Macaca fascicularis: one gene and its partner. The protein of the gene in region 1 binds, or shares a complex with, the protein of each later gene. Links are inferred from orthologs where the notes say so. Each region holds a gene or a part of one and is shown on either strand. Other genes may lie near its edges.

Evidence for each region. The genes of interacting proteins can lie anywhere in the genome.
Region 2: the proteins of ITGB1 (region 1) and FERMT2 are in contact, whole or in part, in a crystal structure (PDB 8TEE), measured with the Mus musculus proteins. The link is inferred for Macaca fascicularis from reciprocal best matches to the Homo sapiens genes ITGB1 and FERMT2. Residues at the interface, in NP_034708.1 of Mus musculus: Ala786, Val787, Thr788, Thr789, Val790, Val791, Asn792, Pro793, Tyr795, Glu796, Gly797; in NP_666166.2 of Mus musculus: Phe609, Ser610, Asn611, Met612, Lys613, Gln614, Trp615, Asn616, Val617, Asn618, Trp619, Glu620, Ala629, Asp630, His647, Ile654, Ser657, Thr658, Lys674, Leu675, Ser677, Gly678.

Annotation. Positions count from the first base shown.
Region 1 is NC_088383.1:33,706,870-33,717,845, reverse strand, and holds the start of ITGB1 (integrin beta-1), read left to right. Parts: upstream 1-5,597; 5' UTR 5,598-5,700; intron 5,701-5,873; exon of another isoform or gene 5,874-6,797; intron 6,798-10,976.
Region 2 is NC_088381.1:120,696,702-120,706,687, reverse strand, and holds the end of FERMT2 (fermitin family homolog 2), read left to right. Parts: intron 1-2,955; coding exon 2,956-2,979; intron 2,980-3,516; coding exon 3,517-3,537; intron 3,538-4,081; coding exon 4,082-4,206; intron 4,207-4,520; coding exon 4,521-4,662; intron 4,663-5,705; coding exon 5,706-5,879; 3' UTR 5,880-6,967; downstream 6,968-9,986. UniProt on the Homo sapiens protein: Scaffolding protein that enhances integrin activation mediated by TLN1 and/or TLN2, but activates integrins only weakly by itself. Binds to membranes enriched in phosphoinositides.

The DNA of each region.
Region 1 (10,976 bases):
AAAACACAAAAACTTCACAAAAAGGATTATATACTGCAACGCATTGTGCATCTTGTTAAACTTGTCTAATTTTTATTTAAAACTGATGATTATTCCATTCCTTAGATGTATTTGAATTTATTTAATCAGAGGATCATTGTTTAAATGTAAGAATGCAGTTCCATCTATCCTGTAAGCTAGAGATCATACATCAACAACATTTACTGGTGAAATTTCGAATGAAGTGCTTCATTTCCACAAGCCAGTGTTCTGACTATAAGAGAAAAATTGTTTAGTTGACGTTTTTGGCATGTGGAAGCCACTGGAAAATTATAGATAATGAAGTATGTATTTTTATCATAAAAGGAGAAGAGTAATTAAGGACTTCAGTGTAAACTTAGCTAAATGAAGAGTCAGGAGTACAAAAATATTCTAATATTAACTATCAAAACTCTTCAGATTAAGATTATTTCAGTTTAGTACAATAACACAAAATGCAAAATTCTTTCAACTTGAAAGTTTACCCAACGGCAGCCATAAGCAGTTCTAAATAGGGAATTCTTGTGGTCATAAAGGGAACAGCCTATGACATCAGCCAACAACAATGCAGAAATCTTAAAGTAGAAGCGTCACAGGACTTGCTCTTCCAAATGCTGCATGACAAATATTACTAGGAAATATGCTTAACATTTATTTATTTTTATTCCCAATTTAAGTAAAAATTTACAATGGTTTTAGTTACGGTGATTTTTAGACATGATTTGAAGTCATTTAAGTCCTAATACGTAAATTGGAATTTGAAATTAAAAGTTCGTTTCTCCTTGAAGTTTATCTTACCTTGAAAAGTAGACATAAACAGCATACGCTTTAGTTGTGCGGTTCGATCACAAAAGATTCTGCTTTTTCTGTTCTACCTCTTAAAGGTTAAATAACATGCAGTGACAATCATGTTATAAGAAAATATTTGGAAGCACTATCTGATGGTTTAAATATTGTTTTAGATAAGACTAATCAATATACAACTCACAGTTCCAGGGCAACCACAGAGACATTTGTTTAGGCATGTAGTCTCTAAAAGAACTAATCGTGTAAGTGCTTAAAATAGTTATTCTTAATGTTTTGTTGTTAAGATCTCATTCAAAACACAACAATGCAGATATATAAGTAAAATTCTGTCTAGAATTTTAGGGGTTTCATAGTATCCCGTTCATAGGCATGAGGCAAGAACTCGGCCTAAGATAGTATGTTGTGGGGATTAATTTGTGTGTTCTAGGGGAAGAGGGTGGGAGGGAGGTGCAGGGAAGATGTTCTTACTTACCCCAAATGCCTTTTTTTAAGTGAAAAGTATCCTTCCTACTCCCTAATGTACCTGGCCTGAAATTGAGCTGTTCCTAACTTAAAATTGCAACTGCTAACTTTCCTCAAGATGCAGTTAAATGAGGAAAGAAATAATATTTTTTATAGTCACTAGCTGTAACACATTGGCAACACAATCATTTCCTGTAATGAGTGACCCTGGTTCCTAAAAATAACTCCAGTGCTAGTCAATTGCTTATATTGGGCATTTTTTTAATTCTTATTTGGGAAGGACATTCCCTTCCACAGCTGAAGAAACTCAGTGTTTGAAAAGAGCTGCCTAAAAGACTGTTCCCCATAGGCTGTTAAAAATGTTCAGCATCTGAATGCTGGTAAGGAATGCTCACACCCATTGGAGGCAATGCTGTGTGGACTCGAAAAGGAAAAATGGGGCCCCTATATATGGAAAACAGGAAGCAGAACAAGTTGAGGAAGCCTTACTCATCTGTGACCCATATTCAAAGCCATAGTCCAGCCACTGTTAGTTACCTAGAAAAGGAAAAGGCTGAATGGCTAGCCTAAGCTCTAAGGGACACATTGCAAATCAGGTCAGACTGTTGTGCCATTTTCCACCTTATTTTCAAATAAGCAAAGAAATGAAGCCTCAGTACAGCCTGGTGGATACACTGACACATGCCATACCTAGTCAATTGCTGGTTGCCTGATAGCAAACTTAATTTTTTACAGTTCCTCTGGCAATACTCCGTTATGAGTATAGAAGAGTGCTCACTAAATTGAAGCCCTCAAGCAAAAAAAAAAAAAAAAAAACAAGTTGCAAATTCAATACACTTCCAGTTTCTCTGCATTATATGACTATTTGCATGTTATTTATACATATGGAGACTGAAAAAGGAGGAACTGGCAGGACCGTCTCACCCCTTCTTGTTTTTCAAAATGTCAATAATTCCCAGGGCTGCTTTACACCAATACACACAGATTCACATTTTTAGAGATGGGTCTCACTGTGTTGTCCAGGCTGGACTACAGTGGCATGATCATAGCTCCTGGGCTCAAGAGATCCTCCCACCTCAGCCTCCTGAGCAGCCGGGACTACACACATGCACCACCACACCTGGGTAATTTTATTCTTCATTTTTCAGTTGGGGCCTGGGGTCGGTGGGGGCAGTGGTCTCACTATGTTGCTCAGTCTGGTCTCCAACTCCTGATCTCCAGCAATCCTCCTGCCTGAGCCTCCTGAGTAGCAGATTCACATTTTACAACAGTGATTTTAGTTTCTCAGGTAAAGGAATGGAGTTATTCATGATTCAGAAGCACTTCTATGTTAGTATTACATGATGTTATCAGAGACCTCTATTCCTTCCATCCCTATCCCTTCATCTTTTTCTTTGTTTAATGTTTAAAGGAGTTACATTCAAAGAAACTGGAAGTGACAGATGAGAAAAATATATCTAGCTTAGTCTACAGAAACAGTCGTTAGAAAAGTGGCTGAAGACTTACCTAGCCGTTGTCAATCAATTTGCTCCAAAGTCATCGCATACATTTATTATACAATGGTATTTAAAATCCAAGTCCCATTGATCAGCCAGGGGACTGTCAAGACTTTTTTCTTAACAAAATCTCCTAGTAGGGCATTTTCATCACACAGCAACTGCCTAATTCTTCATACTCACCCCCATGCTGCAACTCACATTTTCCCCTTACTATCACCAATGTTGAAATTAGTCTTCCTCTGTAAACCTGGAACCTGATTTGCAATATATCATGAATCTCTTTTGAATTTCTAAAATTATTCTTCTTATTCCTTATTATCTGGACACTGTTCTTTATAGAATGATCATATAAGTTATCATCTATACTAGGACATACTTTTGAGAGGGAAAAGGGGTGCTAATCAATAATAATATAAGTCAAACTAATAAAAACCTAGGCATCCAATAATGTCTTTCTTGCTGAGCAACTTTGAAACTTTACTTTGGAAAATGTTAGGTGAATAAAGATACATTTTGAAGAGCAAGTAGTAATATCACCAGTGACAAAACTAAAGGAAACATCAACTTTAATTATTTGACATAATAATGACTTAAAAGATGGCAGAAGACAATTGATAATAATTGGGAGACAATGTAGGTAAAGTATGGATTTGTCTTGAATTCAAGACACTAATGATGTTTTATTAGGTTGGTGCATGCAGCCATCTGGTTGACCTTAGACATGGGAAGGCAAGAGCCCTCTGATTGACCTTAAACATGGAAAGGTGAGAGCTATCTGGTTGATCTTACACATGGGAAGGCAAGAGACATCTGGTAGACCTTGCACCAACCTAATATGATAAGATCTAGCAATGTGGCTTGCAGTATTCCTACTTACCAGGATTTCCTGTTTAGCACGTATGCTGACCAATCTTTGCTTATTCATAAATTTCATAGTTAGCTCACTGTCCACCCATTATTTGTATGAAATCACAAGTAGACTCGTACTCTTGACCGATCACTGCTTTTCTTAGAGAACATGTTTCTTTAATTTCTTTTTCCTCAAAACTCGTGACTTCTGTACACAAATTGCTACCTCACACATCAGTTTAGTCAAGTCCCGGGAGAGCAACAGGACCCATTTATTCATTTATCAGATATTATCTGAGCCCCTATTATGTGTCCTCACAACAGTGCTCGACAGTGGTGTTAAAAAGGTCAGTAAATTGCCCTGGAGGAACTAATTTAGTTTAGAGTTGTGCATATGTAAACCTCATAATGTTCTTGTAGCAAAGATTAGCCAGTGCCTCCACCAGTCATATACAGGAGAAAAAATTCTGAGAATTGTAGTGCAAATCAGGCATGGACCAATTATGCTTTTGAACTATACAGTTTTCTGTAATGAGACTGGGCTAATTCTGATGAATTCTCAACAATGGTAAAATCCATACCTTTAAAATTCAAGAATGTTGTGTTCTAATGGCAGTTTGACCATTGAGATATTAACATAGGAACATCATTTAGCCTCTTAAGCTTGAACATCCATTAAGCGGGAAAAATAGTGCTTATTTCCTAGAGGTCTGCAGACATTGGCTAACCAATAGTTTTGATTTTGCTGGTAAGTAATGTGCAAATTTTCTTAGATGTGATCGCCTCATTTTCTCTTATATTTTAGATTGGCAGCAGCCAAATGGGCGTTCCAGCCCCTCATCTCCTGCAAGATTCTTCTCAGTTTCATAAATCTGGTAATTTTTGAGCTCTTTTCCCAACAGGGTGCTGCAGCTCACCAAGTGGAACCTACAACATTTTCTGCTACCAGGATAGCAGCTTGCCAGCAGCGTATACTGAAATTACTGGGTTTCAGTATGATGTTGGTTGGTACGAACTTCAATCATCGAATCGACATGCGCCCAGCCATTCTCATAATGAATGTTTCCTTCTCTTTCAAACGTTCTGTTTCCAGCCCCCATCTCCTTTTTTTTTTTCTTTTTTAAAGAGGTTTGAAACAGAAACTCTACTCCGTAGGAAGAAACTTTTCCTTCTCATCCCTGTTCCCCATAAAGGGACCTCCAGATAAATCTATCAAAAGCAGGACCCAACTCACCAGGTTTTCTAAAACGTTCCCCAGTCCCACCACCCTTCGTGGCACCCACGGGTTTCCCAAGTCTTCACCTTTCTCTTAGACACACGCTAGCACATTATCACTCCAGAAAAGCAGTCCTGGCTTAGCCAGTTCCCTTCCAGAATGACCACGTGGTTTTTGGCCCCATGGAGTCCTGCAGGGTATGGGGGGGTTCATGGTACCGATTTGCCTCGGGACTGAGGGGGCTTCCGGGATGCAGGACCTCCCGGGCTCTCAACGGGACATCAGTGGACAAACGGGAGGGAGGGTCGGACACGCGGATCCGAGGAAGCGGAACTTAAAGAACACGGGCCCAGCAGGCTACACCAGGAACGCGCGGGGCTTTAGGGCGCAACCGACCCCTCCCGCCCTTCACAGAGGAGGAAACTGAGGCATGGCGACTGTCTCAGCGGAGTCCCGGCCCTGCCCTCCACGGCCTCCCTCAGGCGCGCTCCCGAGCGGGCCAGTTCCTTTGTCCCGGTCGCGCTTCCTGCCTCCTCCTGCGCCTCCTCCTCGCCCCGGGGCCGGGCTGACGCGGCGGGAGAGGAATGCGTTTCCGGAGGGAGAGGGCGGTGGCGGCCTCGGGAGCGGGATCAGACGCGCAGAGGAGGCGGGGCCGCGGCTGGTTTCCTGCCGGGGGGCGGCTCTGGGCCGCCGAGTCCCCTCCTCCCGCCCCTGAGGAGGAGGAGCCGCCGCCACCCGCCGCGCCCGAGACTCGGGAGGCCCCGCCAGCCCGCAGGAGAGGCCGAGCGGGAGTCGCGGAACAGCAGGCCGGAGCCCACCGCGCCGGGGCCCGGACGCCGCGCGGAGAAGGTAGGCGCCGGCGGGCCTCGGGTGTGGGGGTGCGGGCCGCGGCCTCGGGTCTGCGGTGCGCAACAGCACTTAACAGCCGCCGGCCCGGGCCGCGCCGGGACCTTTGTGCCAGGCGTGGGGGCGGGGGCGGGGGCGGCCGCGGGCCGGTGGGGGCTGGGGCGGGATTCCAGGCTAGTCCGGGAGGAAGTCCGCACACCGCCACCCCCCTCGGGTCCCAGGCGCTGGCAGCGTCCGGGCGCCGAGTCGGCCCAGCCGCGTTCCGAGCGCTAGGGTCGCGGGCCTGGGCGCTGTCACGTCGGGGCTGCTGGAGCTGCGGAGGACCGGGCCTGAGCGGCTCCTGACACCTGCGGTCTCCCGCCAGGCTGGGCGAGCGCAGGTGGGAGCCAGCGAGGCCACCCGGGGCTCGGCGTTTAGGACTCAGCGCGCCCCTGGACTGGTCCTGCGCCTTTGTCTCTCGCTCCCTCGCTGGCTGCTGTTTTTGGAGCAGCGTCGAGCCGGCCGTCGGCGCCCGCTGTTGGGACTGGTCTTCTCCGACTGGAGCCGGGATAGAAAGTGGCCTCGCGGAGCCGCTGGGGACCGGGGGCGCGGCGGCGGCAGTGCAGTTCACTTCCCGGTGTTTATAAACGCGAATGCCGGGAAGTCAAGAGTCGCCGGCCCCTGCCGGGCACCCCGGGACCAGGACACAGGGCCACGGCCACTTTGCGCTCAGACCCGGTCCGCGAGCCTGAGAGCCCGTCCTGTGTCTAGTATCATTTTTACCGCGTGTCATTTCTTAGGCTTCATAAATTGGATTTATGAGACTCCCACTCTCTAAGTAACTTTCATTTAATCAAATTCGTGCTTTTAAGTCCAAAGCTTTGCACTCATTGGTATGATCATTAGTAAATTGCATTCTCTAAGCTTCCGTTTCCTCATCTGTGAAATAGGAACAATACTACCTACACTAATAATTCATTTTTATAACAATGACAGCGAGGGCCAGGTTTAGCTCTAGGCATTTCATGTGTATTATTTAATTCTGGAACTGCTCTAATGAGATTGCTACTGTTTCTATTTCCATTTTCCGAGTGAAGAAACGGAGGCACAGGGAGCAAAAAGTAAGTTGCATATGGTCATCGGGAGCTCCTGGAGAAGGCATGGGGTCTAGCTCCAGAGCCTACGTTTAAACCAAAAGTAACCTTCCTAACTATAGTCGTGAAAATCAAATGCAAAATGTAAAACACTTAGCTTGAGAGTAGATGCTCAATGAATATTGACTGCTTTTCAGCCCTTCTTTTATAGTAAAAAGATTTCTCGGAAGGTAATTGGTAACATCATTAGTAAGGTTTCTTTGGGCCAACGTGCCACATGGATAACAGGTGGATAGAATTGCTAGGTTATTTTGTTTTGTTTTGAGACAGGGTCTCTGTCGCCCAGGCTGGAGTGCAGAGGAGCTATCACAGCTCACTGCAGCCTCAGCCTCTCGTGCTTAAGTTATTTTTCCACCTCAGCCACCTGAGTAGCTGGAACGACAGGCGCCTGCCACCATGCCCGGCTAATTTTTTAATTTTTTGTAGAGACAGGATTTCACTATGCTGCCCAGGCTGGCCTCAAACTCCTAGGCTCAAGCAGTCCTCTCTCCTAGAGCTCCCAAAGTGTTGGGATTACAGACTTGAGCCCCCTGAGCCTGGCCCTTAGGTTATTATTATTTTTCTTATTGTACTTCTGATGCTACAAAAATAACGTTCTAGAGGAATTTAGACATCTTTCTTAAACCACATATGCCCTTTACGATAGGGTATACAATAGGCCACTTTTAGAAATGATTAAGGAACTTTAGTTGGCAGTTACCTGTTCATTTGTGGACATCAAGGCCCAGAGGGGTCAGGACTTAGAGTCTCACTGTAATTCTCATATTTTTAAATAATGTTGGCTCATTGATCAATATTATATAAGTGACTGAAGATGGTGAAGTGTTAAATAAAAAACATTGGTATTTTGATTACAGGCATTTGGGGGGAAAGCCATTTTACTTACCCCAAAATTGAGTATGAAGGTGGAAGATGTTATTAGAATACTAGCTAAAAGGACAAAGAATGTGGTTAATAGTTTAATTGTGTAAAAAGGAAGCAAATAGACTGTTTAACTCATCTATGTTGACTTCAGACCTAGACCTACAATTTTATGTGATTTTCCTAACAATGTAAAGTTCTGTATTAAAGTTATTTTTGAATACCTTCAACATTCTGTACATGAAATGCATGGAATCAACAATTCTGAAAGTCACTGCATTTAGTAATTTTAACAATTAGGCAGCTTTCTTCTTAGCTTTCTGGTCAGTATAATTTAATTTAAATCAGCCCCAAATTACCATCACGAATGAAAATGTAGTTCTACATTGGTGTTCTTCCTAACTCTGGGAGTGACACTGGGGACAAATGGTCATACTATAATAATGAAAAGTGGTCAAACAACATGGTGCCAGTTTTTCTAAGAGTGCTTGCCACTGATTTTAATGTCTTTATTGTTTGACTTCTTGATAAGTAAGTTGTGGCTTACAGCAGGGAGTAGTACAGTGTTCTGTCCGAAAAAAATATTCATTAATATTCTGTAGCTGCTCTGGTTTGCCCTTAACCATGCTGCTAGTGTGATAAGCTGAAACATCTTGTAAAAGTTTCAGAGAGCTTTCAAGTTCCGAGAACTTAACTTTCTGAGTATGTAACAAGCTACATATATCTGAAAGGATTCATTTGGACTTCTGTCAGATTTTAGCAGATTTTCTCACTCTACGAGAGAGTTAGGATCTGTTAGGTTGTGGGTGGAATCCTAGAGATTATGCCAGGTAAATATGTAAGTGTCTGTATTGTATTAGCAGTGTTTACTCTGACTTGGTTCTAGGTTCTGAGAATTTGGCTGGTTGTTTTTTCAGAGGTGGGAAGTGTGGAGTAGAGAGGTTAAGATACAGAAAGGTACATTCGTCTTCTGAATCCTGAAGTGTCATGCTAGGGGTATCTATAGCTGTGGAAAACTGAAAGAATATTATGGTATGTACCCAGGTTAAAGGGGGTACAGTGCGTAAAAGTCAGAATATTAGCAGCCTTCCAATATGTCTGTCGGTAGGTGAAAAAAAATTTCTCTCTTTCAGGAGCTGTGTACAAAAGGATCCAAACTATACTTTATACATGTGTTACTGCTTTAAAAGTGGCTGTGAGTGTTTAGAGGTCAACTGACTTTAAACTTGCCGTTTGATTTGTGACTTTAGAAAGTAGAGTTAACTATATTTAGCAATATGCTTAAACATGTGCATATCACCTCATGAAACATGTGTGTGCATGAGAAAAGCTGCCTCCAGTACATATACATATGTATATAAACACACATACACACAAGCATATATATGTATGTATTTCTTGTAGGACCAGTCTCATTGTATATAATTTCAAAGTGCAGGTTCCTGATCTCCAGGGGTGCGTAAAAAGACTCACTGAAGTATGGGAAGAAAATTTTAGGTCTACTATTATGTTTGTTGATCTCATCACTTCAAAGTTTAAAATTTTGATTATGATTTATATCTTACTGTATTGCTGTAGAAGTACACGTATTTGAATTTATAAATTACATGTATTTTGGGTACATGTATGCTTAGAATTTTTTTAGTGATAAAGGTGAGTGGTCAGAAACCTTTGCAGATCCCCTATATGGAGGATGATTTGAGTGGAGTTCAAGAACTAGTATATTTAGGAGGGAGAATTGAAAAGACTTGATAAGAGAAATGAAAGAAACCCAATGTGACACTGGTTTCTGGCTAGGAGGTGCTGTTCACTGAGGTGAGAGGGTGACCACAAGCCGGGGCTGCTGGTTGGCTGGAGCAGAGGGGAAATGATGACCTTATGAGGCTGAGTTTTATTTTTTTAAGGTGACCGGGGACATAGGTGGAGATGTCTAAATTGCAGTTGAATACACAGGGTAAGAGCTAAAAAAAAAAAAAAAAAACAAAAAACAAACAGATTTCAATTTGGAAATTCTCAGTCTATTAAGTACTGGTTGAAGCTATAGGCTGTGCATGCAAACACCAAAGGAGGGTGTGGAGTGAAAAACGGACTGAAGGAGGACCTGGGAACAGTCAAGGTGGGTAGAGGAAGAGGAATCCAGAAAAGCATTTACCTTCCCCAGTTTCTTCTCTGAACTTCTAATTCCTTTGAGTGACATTTTTGTGAGTGACAAAGGTATTTCTGGGTTTTTCCAGTGATTGGCATGTTTGAGTTAAAGACAAAAAGACTTCATTGGTCACATCCCTTTGTGGTAATTTATTTTCAGGTACCTGATCAGAGAAGCAGTTTGATGTAGTAAAGGCTTCTCGATTGCGAGGCAGGAAACCTGGGTGTCAGTGCAGGGTCTGCCACTGAATTTCTGTGTGACCTTTGTCAGAGTACTATACTTCCAGGGCATTGGTTTCCACATCTACCCTATAAAGCAGTCTGCATGTTTCTGTCGTTTTCTTGTTCCAGGAGTTGGAGGATAGCTGCTGCCTGATGTAAGTAGAATGCAGTTCTCTCACCCCATGAGCAACCTTTCTTTTTTTTTTTTTTGTATCACCAGAGAGTGTAGGCGCCGTGCCACTTACTCCTTTAAGGATGCCTGCCAGCGCTGACCAGCAACATCTGTCACAACATCTGTCACAACAGCTCTGCATCAGGATGTAGCTCGGCTGTACATTACATTTTATTCTATCAGTACATTGAGTACCAGTTACCTGAAAAATGCTTTACTCATTGGGCATGAATCAAGAAGTCGGCATGGTCTTTGATGTTGAGTCTGTTGTCTAGTTGGAACAAGTTGTGTTCGGTTCAGGAAAACATAAATACCAAAGAGTGTTTTATACAATGTACTGTACCATAAAATATTCCCTAACAGCGTTAGAAAAATCTCAGCATTGTCTTGTGTGGTTTCGGAACACGTTGTGTAGGAGATGAGGCCTGAGCTTGGAATGGTATGAGTGAAGGTTGGAAGACAGATGGGTGGCACTTTCAAGGGACAGCATAGGAAGAATCCAGTCTAATTTCACAGATAGTACTTGGCCACTTTGTTACTTATTAGGAGTTATGTATAATATCATATATGTATCACAATGATATATGAAGGCTATATTTTAAAATGAAAGCCTGGATTCTTGCCCTCCAACACTAGCCTGATGAGAGATACAGACATGAATAAAATTAGTTATAATAGAAGTTTGAACAGAAATAACACTATATTATTGAGCATCACTGAAGGTTTGTCATTCACTGTGCTGGCCA
Region 2 (9,986 bases), on another chromosome or scaffold:
ACTTTTTGAGTGCCAACATGACTCTCAAATGCTCATTGGCACATTTTGGATTTCAGATTTGGGATCCTCAACCGGTAAGTGTAATACAAATATTCCAAAATCCAAAAATATCTGAAACCCAAAACACTTCTGGTCCCAAGAATTTTGGATAATGGATACTCAACCTGTAGGAAATAAAGTAACCTTTAGTCAAGTTTAAATTGGTCATTTAAAACAAATCTTTATCATTTTAATAAGGAGGCAGAATAGTTGAGAACTTACTCTAAACAACTTGCAGAAATCATTCTGTTAACATGATGATGTTCTTTCAGACATTTTAGGGAATTGAATATGGTCTCAATGCTTTGCATTCCTTAATTTATTTAATTTTATTCCTTATATAATTAAGTAAATGTGACGTAAAGTGCAGCCAGCATTTCCCAACAAAATTCATAATACCAACTATTGTTGAAATGGGCTTTTCCAACTTTAGAATGAAACTTTACAAGAGTATATTTTTAGCTGTGTCTTTTCTTAACATTATCAGTCAGAACCTAACCAAAATTTTATACATAGTTACACAGTTTGGTAAATTTTCATTGAAATTTGCTTTTGTCCACTCTGTTTAGAATTCTTTTCTTTGGAAATTAATACCATAAAAGGGTTGCTACTTAGGAAAATGGTTCTTTGGTACAACATAAAAGTCCTTTACAGGGGAATTTCACTTGGGATAGGCCCTGGTATTCCCTGCACCCAACATCATGCCATAAAAGGAAAAGGCTTCAATTTGGGGGTGGGGGGGATGAAGACCTTTAAAATAAATATTTTGTTTTTATCTAATTGTGCTTTAATCTTTGTTAAGGAGTAATTTTAAAACATACTGAAAAGGCTCAATGAAATGCCCAGAACACTTATTAATTCCTTAACTTTAAATATAATATTGATTATATGGGTCTGAAATTATTTCTACCTAAATGTTCAGAGGTTTTAATCACAGAGTATTTGTCTTTAAGTCTCAGAGGTTGTGTAAGCCTAGAAATTGTTTATCCCATGGTCATATGATGTGGGAGTAGTAAGGAATGGAGGAAATGCTGCCCTGGGGAACTGTGTGGAATGTAGATTGTAAGTTAAAAAGGGAAAGTAAAGCAAGTGCTAATTTCATTTTTCATATTCGTAGTTATTTCATTTTAAAATTATACAGAATCTTGTTTCTAAAAGTGAATATATTTGCCTTCAAAGGCAATAAGTAATTTCAAACCTGTTTTATGACCAGTTTTATCATTTCACAGTAAGGTATCAGGGAGATAGACGAGCTTAAACGAGAACTGCCACACATTATTTTCTTTTTTTTTTTTTTTTTTTTTTTTTTTTTTTTTTTTGAGACGGAGTCTCGCTCTGTCACCCAGGCTGGAGTGCAGTGGCCGGATCTCAGCTCACTGCAAGCTCCGCCTCCCGGGTTCACGCCATTCTCCTGCCTCAGCCTCCCGAGTAGCTGGGACTAGAGGCGCCTGCCACCTCGCCCGGCTAAGTTTTTGTATTTTTAGTAGAGACGGGGTTTCACTGTGTTACCCAGGATGGTCTCGATCTCCTGACCTCGTGATCCGCCCGTCTCGGCCTCCCAAAGTGCTGGGATTACAGGCTTGAGCCACCGCGCCCGGCCACACACATTATTTTCACTGTCAACTATTTGTTTTCTCAGAGGCCTTTTAAATGATAGTTCTTGACTAGAAACTATCAACTGAAAATTCTCCTGAGAACAAAGATGAGGATTCATCTTTAACTGACAGGAGGACAGTTTGTGTGTGGTCCATGGTTAAAGATCCTTCTGGCCTTGCCTTTCATGTTGCCATCTAATCAAATGCACATTTTTAACCCTACTTTCTCTCACCAGAGTGATAGGTTAGGTTTTTGGTGTGTATTTTGTTATTTTTGAGGCAGAGTCTTGCCCTGTCTCCCAGGCTGGAGTGCGGTGGCACCATCATAGCTCAAGCTCACTGCAGCCTCCATCTCCCAGGCTCAAGCAATCCTCCTACCTCAGCCTCCCTAGTAACTAGAACCACAGGCACACACTGCCACTCCAGGCTAATTTTTGTATTTTTTGTAGAGACGAGCTCTCGCTATGTTGCTTAGGCTGGTCTCAAACTCTTGAGCTCAAGTGATCCGCCTGCCTTGGCCTCCCAAAGCACTGGGATTACAGGCGTGAGCCACCACACTTTGCTGGAATAGACTTACAAATTGTTGGCCAGGCACAGTGGCTCACGCCTGTAATCCCAGCACTTTGAGAGGCCGAGGCAGGCGGATCACTTGAGGTCAAGAGTTTGAGACCAGCCTGGCCAACATGGTGAAACCCCATCTCTACTAAAAATACAAAAATTAGCCAGGCATGGTGGTGTGCATGCCTATAATGCCAGCTACTGGGGAGGCTGAGGCAGGAGAATCGCCTGTACCTGGGAGGCGGAGGTTGCAGTGAGCCATCACACTCCAGCCTGGGCAATAAGAGTGAAACTCTGTCTCAGGAAAAAAAGAAAATTGTTTCCAGATATTACTGCCCTGGCGCCTAGTAAGTAGTGATCCTCAGAAGCTTAGTTGCTACTGTGTGTCAGACACCACACTAGTCACACTGGACGTAGTGCTCAGTAATTATTAAGCTATATCCAGTTGCATTCTGGAGTCTGTAGGAAGATGTGCAGGCCACAAGGACATTCTTCCCTTCCAGGGCATATCGACTGGTAGTTTTCTTTTGGGTCTATCAAAATAACCTGTTGTATTTAACCTACTTTAATTCCCTTCAATTATACATATATTAACTAAATACTCTATGGGTATTTTTAAACAAATATGACTCTCAAACTGGCTTTTTAAATTTTGAAGAATTATTCTATATGTTGATTTATGTTAATCTAAATGGAAATGACTAATGCCATAAAGCCGAAATTCCTCATGTAGTATACGGCATCTCTTTATTTTCCCTTCCAGGAAAAAGGATGCAAAAAACACATGGTAACTGAGGGGTTTGCTTTTCTTGTGTAAAAAAAAAAAAACAGATGGGCACTGCACTTATTTTATGCCTTCAAATTCTTATTTCTGAAAAGCAGTGCATGGATCATATTATCTGACTAAATCTGAGAATACTTTAAAGGCTTTTGAATACTTTTATTTTGCTACTAAAATAATTGGCTTTATCCTAACCAGTGAGAACTGGGTACATGATGTAGGGGGAAAGAAATATTTGCTCTTTTTATTTTCTCCCTACAAATTTCTACCCTTAGGTTCTTTAGTAACATTTAACATTCTAAAATAATGTGGAGTGTTTCTCAGTGTTCTAAATGGAAAGTAATTGCTGCTTCCTCATTTTCATTTTTCATTCTTGCATTTACTTTGCTTGGTTTCTACCTAAAGTAGTTTTTTGCATGACTTTTGGCTGGAATTTTGGTTTGCAGGTGACCGCAACTTTTTCTTTGCTTCATTGCCATTTTTTCTGATTGCCTTTTTTTTTCTTTCTGCTTCCTTTTTCTTTCCTCGCATTGCCATCTACAGCCAGGCTATGTAAGAGATTTGGTAAGTTCTCCATATTTACCAAAAAAGAAAAAGAAGAATAAAAAAAAATTCATAGCCACAACCTTCCCTCATGGAATTTACTCCCGTAGTGAAATTTAAAATAAAAATGATTACGGTGATTTCAAGTACCTTAAAGCTGCTAACAGATAATCCTGCTAGAAACTTGTATTCCAGGTATTCATTCTGATTATAGACATAGTGCTAAATTTAATTAAAACTCATCTATATGTGGATTAGAATGTGCTGTTCTATAATAGTAGTACCATTATCTGTATGCATTTGAAATATGTCTCAAGTGTGGCAACTGTGTACTCCTAATAGTACTTTTTGTTGATATATGAAAACTGAAATTAAGACTTATTTTGAAAAATCATTATATAATAATTATTAAAATTTCCAAATGTAGCTTCAGATATTTTGATTTCAACTCTTACAATGTGATTTTGGGGTACGGGGTACGTAATTCAATCTTTTGATCTTTTGTCTCGATTGTCCCATGAGAGAATAATGTTCAATGGTAAAGGTGATGTTTAATCATGTTTAGATAACAGCGAGAATCTTGGAGGCCCATCAGAATGTAGCTCAGATGAGTCTAATTGAAGCCAAGATGAGATTTATTCAAGCTTGGCAGTCATTACCTGAATTTGGCATCACACACTTCATTGCAAGGTCAGTGGTTCTAAGCATCTATGTGTAAACCTTAATCTGCATTTTTGCTTCATCTATGTCATGTAATTAGATATTAAACATTTAAAGCATACCTATGTAGACCCATTAACTCATATTACAGTAGAATTCAAAGACTGTTAGAATGTATTTTGTAAGCTTTTAATTTCTACATTAAAAATTCAAGATAATTGTGTTTGTTTTACTACTAAGGGAATAGCACTCTTTTAGGGTTGGAGAACACTTACCTTGAAGAAAAGCAGTCCAACATGTTCCCCCACGACATGTTGTAACTGTTCTTTTCTTAAATATTATAGGTTCCAAGGGGGCAAAAAAGAAGAACTTATTGGAATTGCATACAACAGACTGATTCGGATGGATGCCAGCACCGGAGATGCAATTAAAACATGGCGTTTCAGCAACATGAAACAGTGGAATGTCAACTGGGAAATCAAAATGGTAAACTCGTCCCAATGTTACTTGAATATAGTTCTTCTGATACAAATTAGCATATTAGGAATAAAAAGGCCTATAAATTCTGATGATTGTTTGTACCACCACCTCTTAAAGTACAGACAGACCATGGTTGACTATTCATTTCTCACTTAAATTTGCCTATTTCATAATTAGCCCAGTTACTAAAATTCTAAGCATATAATTTGCTTAGAATGTTGCCCTTTTTGTCTTTCTGTAATGGATAAAGCCCTTCTACTCCGAAATAGCAACTACTATTTGTTGAATGCCTACCCTGTGCCAGACATGATACTGGAGGCTTACATTAGTACCCCATCTCAAAACCTCATCACAGCCTTTTAAGGTAGTTGGATTACCGTACGTTACAAATGAAGACACTGCAATATAGAGGCTTGAGGGCCACCATTGTCTATGACCACGCACAAAGTAACTACAGAGTCATTTCAAACTCAGATGCTTTAGGCTTAAAAACCTGGCACATTTACCACTGTACATCATGTTGCCCCTGGTCTTGGAGTACACAAATATCATTTAAATTGAACAATCTTTTACTAATAAGTCATTTGGTTTAGGATCATATTGGATTTATTGTATCAATTCATGTTACTTCAAAGAATCTTATATTTCTGAAATACTCAAACGTGATACCTAAAGTTTAAATAGCTGAAGCAAATATTAAAACACAGGAAGGAGGCTTTCCTCCAGGACTTGAAGAGAGGCATTCTCGTTAATTGAATCGTCAGAGACCATTTGAGAACTGAATGACCTAAAACCCTTGCATTCCTAGTCTTCCTTTTCAGAACATGAAAACTTAAAAAAGGGTAGGGGAAGGGCAATAAACTTAACTTCTTCTTTGGGACTTAAAGGCATTACTAGTTTAGGTTTTAAACAGACTAATTATTTGAGGATCAACAAGTGTTTTCTGATGGGACCGGCTTTAAGTAGCGCAGTAGTTGTGTGAGTCGTTTTGTGTGGACCCCGCCACCTGGCATTCGGGACAGCACTGATGATTCTTGTCTTTGTTCCAGGTCACCGTAGAGTTTGCAGATGAAGTACGATTGTCCTTCATTTGTACTGAAGTAGATTGCAAAGTGGTTCATGAATTCATTGGTGGCTACATATTTCTCTCAACACGTGCAAAAGACCAAAATGAGAGTTTAGATGAAGAGATGTTCTACAAACTTACCAGTGGTTGGGTGTGAATAGAAATACTGTTTAATGAAACTCCACGGCCATAACAATATTTAACTTTAAAAGCTGTTTGTTATATGCTGCTTAATAAAGTAAGCTTGAAATTTATCGTTTTATCATGAAAACTTCTTTGCCTTACCAGACCAGTTAATATGTGCACTAAACAAGCACGACTATTAATCTATCAGGATATAATAAACTTGAATTTGGCACACATTCCTTAGGGCCATGAATTTAAAACTGAAATAGTGGGCAAATCAGGAACAGACCATCACTGATTTAAGCTAGCCAAACTGTAAGAAACAAGCCATCTATTTTAAAGCTATCCAGGCCTTAACCTATATGAACTCTATTTATCATGTCTAATGCATGTGTTTTAATGTATGTTTAATTTGATATCATGTTTTAAAATATCCTACTTCTGGTAGCCATTTAATTCCTTCCCCTCACCCCCAAATAAATCAGGCCTGCAGGAGGCCTGATGTTTAATAATGTCATTGTGTTTGACCTTGAAGGAAAATGCTATTAGTCTGTCGTGCTTGATTTGTTTTTGTCCTTGAATAAGCATGTTATGTATATTGTCTTGTGTTTTTATTTTTACACCATATTGTATTACACTTTTAGTATTCACCAGCATAATCACTGTCTGCCTAAAATATGCAACTCTTTGCATTACAATATGAAGTAAAGTTCTATGAAGTATGCATTTTGTGTAACTAATGTACAAACACAAATTTTATAAAATTGTACAGTTTTTTAAAAACTACTCACAACTAGCAAATGGCTTAAATGTAGCATCTCTGCATTAATTAAATGCCTTTAAGAGATATAATTAATGTGCAGTTTTAATATCTACTAAATTAAGAATGACTTCATTATGATGATTTGCCACAATGTCCTTAACTCTAATGCCTGGACTGGCCATGTTCTAGTCTGTTGCGCTGTTACAATCTGTATTGGTGCTAGTCAGAAAATTCCTAGCTCACATAGCCCAAAAGGGTGCGAGGGAGAGGTGGATTACCAGTATTGTTCAATAATCCATGGTTCAAAGACTGTATAAATGCATTTTATTTTAAATAAAAGCAAAACTTTTATTTAATAGTTATTTTTGTACTTGTTTTTAATGTTTACATAGTATCAATTTAGTAGAAATGAACTTCTGCCTTTTGGAAATGCTTTGCCTACATGTTGTTATTTTGTGAGAACAACGGGTTAGTATTCCACATCATCGCCAGATAGACACACTTTATCTCAAAGATAGTCTTTCGCCTCAATTGAAAAGCCCTCATTTTCTTAACACTTAAAAATGAATGTGTAATACCTAAATGTTAGAAATGTACTTATAAATAGAAGTTGGCTGTGGCAGAATTTGTTTTAAATAACAAAATTATTCTTGTTTTACAAAAAAAAATACGTTTACGAATTTACTGCCAGTCATTACTGCTGTCATCATTCAAGACTCAAGACTTTTTAGTCCTTTACCCTTTGCATGTAGACCAATTCCTGATTTTCCCCTCACACAGCCTTGCATCTTTTGTTATTGCTGCCACCATCATCCAAATTCAGTTCTTTGTCCTGTGCCTGCTGTAGTGTGGCACCATCTTAAGACAAGGCTGAGATCACATTCTCCATGACTTTTCTTTGCACTCTAAAGCCATAACAGGCCTTGCTCCAAAATTTAAGAGCACCTTTCCACTAAACATTTTAAAATATACTCCCTTTCCTCATCTTTAGTAAGTGACTGTGCAAGTCACCAACTTGAATATTCAGCAACTTGCATGTCACCTACCGAAAGCCCCAAAACATTCATTGAAACCACACCTATTCAAGTGCTTTCTAGTCCCATGGCCTCCACGCAAGTGAGAATAGCCTCTGTGCTGATTGCCCCACTTCTAGTTTGCCCTGCTGCCCTCCCAGTGATTTTGAGATTAATCCAGCCCCAACATAGCACTGACTGCATTTCAGCTCTAATGACTTCTTATTGCCTACAGGATAAAAGCCAAAGTAAAGTGCTCAGAGGTTTTGTATGGTTTCCCAGCCCACATTTTCATCCTTATCTCCCAACAATCTGCATTGCAGTCCAGCTGGGCAGCTCACATTCTCCACTTTGCACTCATCCCATCTCCCTATCATTCCCCAAGTCTGGAATGTCTAGTCCTGGACCTTCGTACAGTTTGTACCTGTCTACACCTCATCTGTCTAGCATTTTAGAAAAAGGTCAAGTGGGCCTGGCACAGTGGGTCACACCTGTAATCCCAGCATTTTGGGAGCCTGAGGTAGGTAGGTCACGAGGTCAGGAGTTCAAGACCATCCTGGTCAAGATGGTGAAACCCCGTCTCTACTAGAAATACAAAAATTAGCTGGGCATGGTGGCACACACTTGTAATCCCAGCTACTGGGGAGTCTGAGGCAGGAGAATTGCTTGAACCTGGGAGGTGGAGGTTGCAGCGAGTTGAGATTGTGCCACTGCACTCCAGTCTGGGCAACAGAGTAACACTCCATCTCAAAAAAAAAAAAAAAGCCAGGCATAGTGGCTTATGCCTGTAATCCCAGCACTTTGGGGGCTGAGGTAGGAGGATCATGAGGTCAAGAGATCAAGACCATCCTGGCCAACATGATGAAACCCCGTCTCTACTAAAAATAGAAAAATTAGTCGGGCATGGTAGTGCGCACCTGTAGTCCCAGCTACTTGGGAGGCTAAGGCAGGAGTATCGCTTGAACCCAGGAGGCGGAGGTTACAGTGAGCCAAGATTTCACCACTGCACTCCAGCCTGGGTGACAAAGTGAGACTCCATCCCAAAAAAAAAAAAAGAAAAAAACTCAAGTGTTCTTTCTTCTATAAACACTTTCAAGTTTCCTTGCAGCCAAAAAACTCTCTTCCTCTTCTGAACTGCCATTGAATTTGGTCCTTCTGCGGAACTAAAGAGTGATCATCCTTATTATGGTTGAGTATATCATGTCGCCCCTAACAAATTATTACATGTTTGAGGATTTGGTTGAATTTGGTCCTTCTGTGGAACTAGAGTATCCAAATCATTACATCCTTGAGGACTGGATCTCAGTGCTATGGTTCCTACTTAGGATCACTTACACATGGGTTTATTGAATATAATGATGGTTATTTTGGAAATAACAAAATTATTAACCAAACCAAATAACCAAAGGAATTATTATTAGAACTAAGAGTTTGTGTAGCCTCAGTATAGTTTAATACAGAGCAAACTAACTCTTTTTTTTTGGACACCAACTATGCAATAGGAAGCATGCTAAGTACTCATATTCTCTCAAGGATGCATACAGTCCAGCCTCATCATTTTATAGATGAAGCTAGAGGAGGCCAACTGACCTGTTTAAAGTCAGACATCTATGATTACTGCCAAGGCCAATCATCTTCCTATCTAGTAGTAGTAAAAACAAACCTTACATGAATTCTGAGAACACCATTAGTAGTGACCTCTCTAGAGAGAACATAGGTCTGTGAGAACACCAGCTGGGACTCAGAGACCTAGGTTCAGCTTTCTGCTCCATGTGACTCAAGCTCATGTGGATATGAAAGCACTGGTGACAGGACCCCAACCTAGCTCCCATCCAACTTTTTACCTTAGATCAGCAGGTTAGAAACCTGCTGGAAGCCCCTGGCCGGGCACGGTGGCTCACGCCTGTAATCCCAGCACTTTGGGAGGCCGAGGTCAAAAGATTGAGACCATCCTGGCCAACATGGTGAAACCCCGTCTCTACTAAAAATACAAAAATTAGCCCCAACTACTCAGGAGGCTGAGGCAAGAGAATGGCTTGAACCCAGGAGGTGGAGGTTGCAGTGAACTGAGATTGCGCCACTGCACTCCAGCCTGGGCGACAGAGTGAGACTCCATCTCAAAAAAAAAAAAAAAAAAAAAAACCTGCTGGAAGCCCCTGATGGTGACGTAGTTAATCAGTAATCTCAACTCAGTACAAATTGTATTTTACATGCCTTGAACTTTCAAAGTCAAGGAGCTAGAGACACGAACTTTATCAAGGAAAAGCTACTTGCCATTCTTGACCCTCTACTCTTACAGAGGACAAAAAGCAAGTATGTCACAGACTATACTGTTATTCTGTATACTGTATTTCTACTTTTT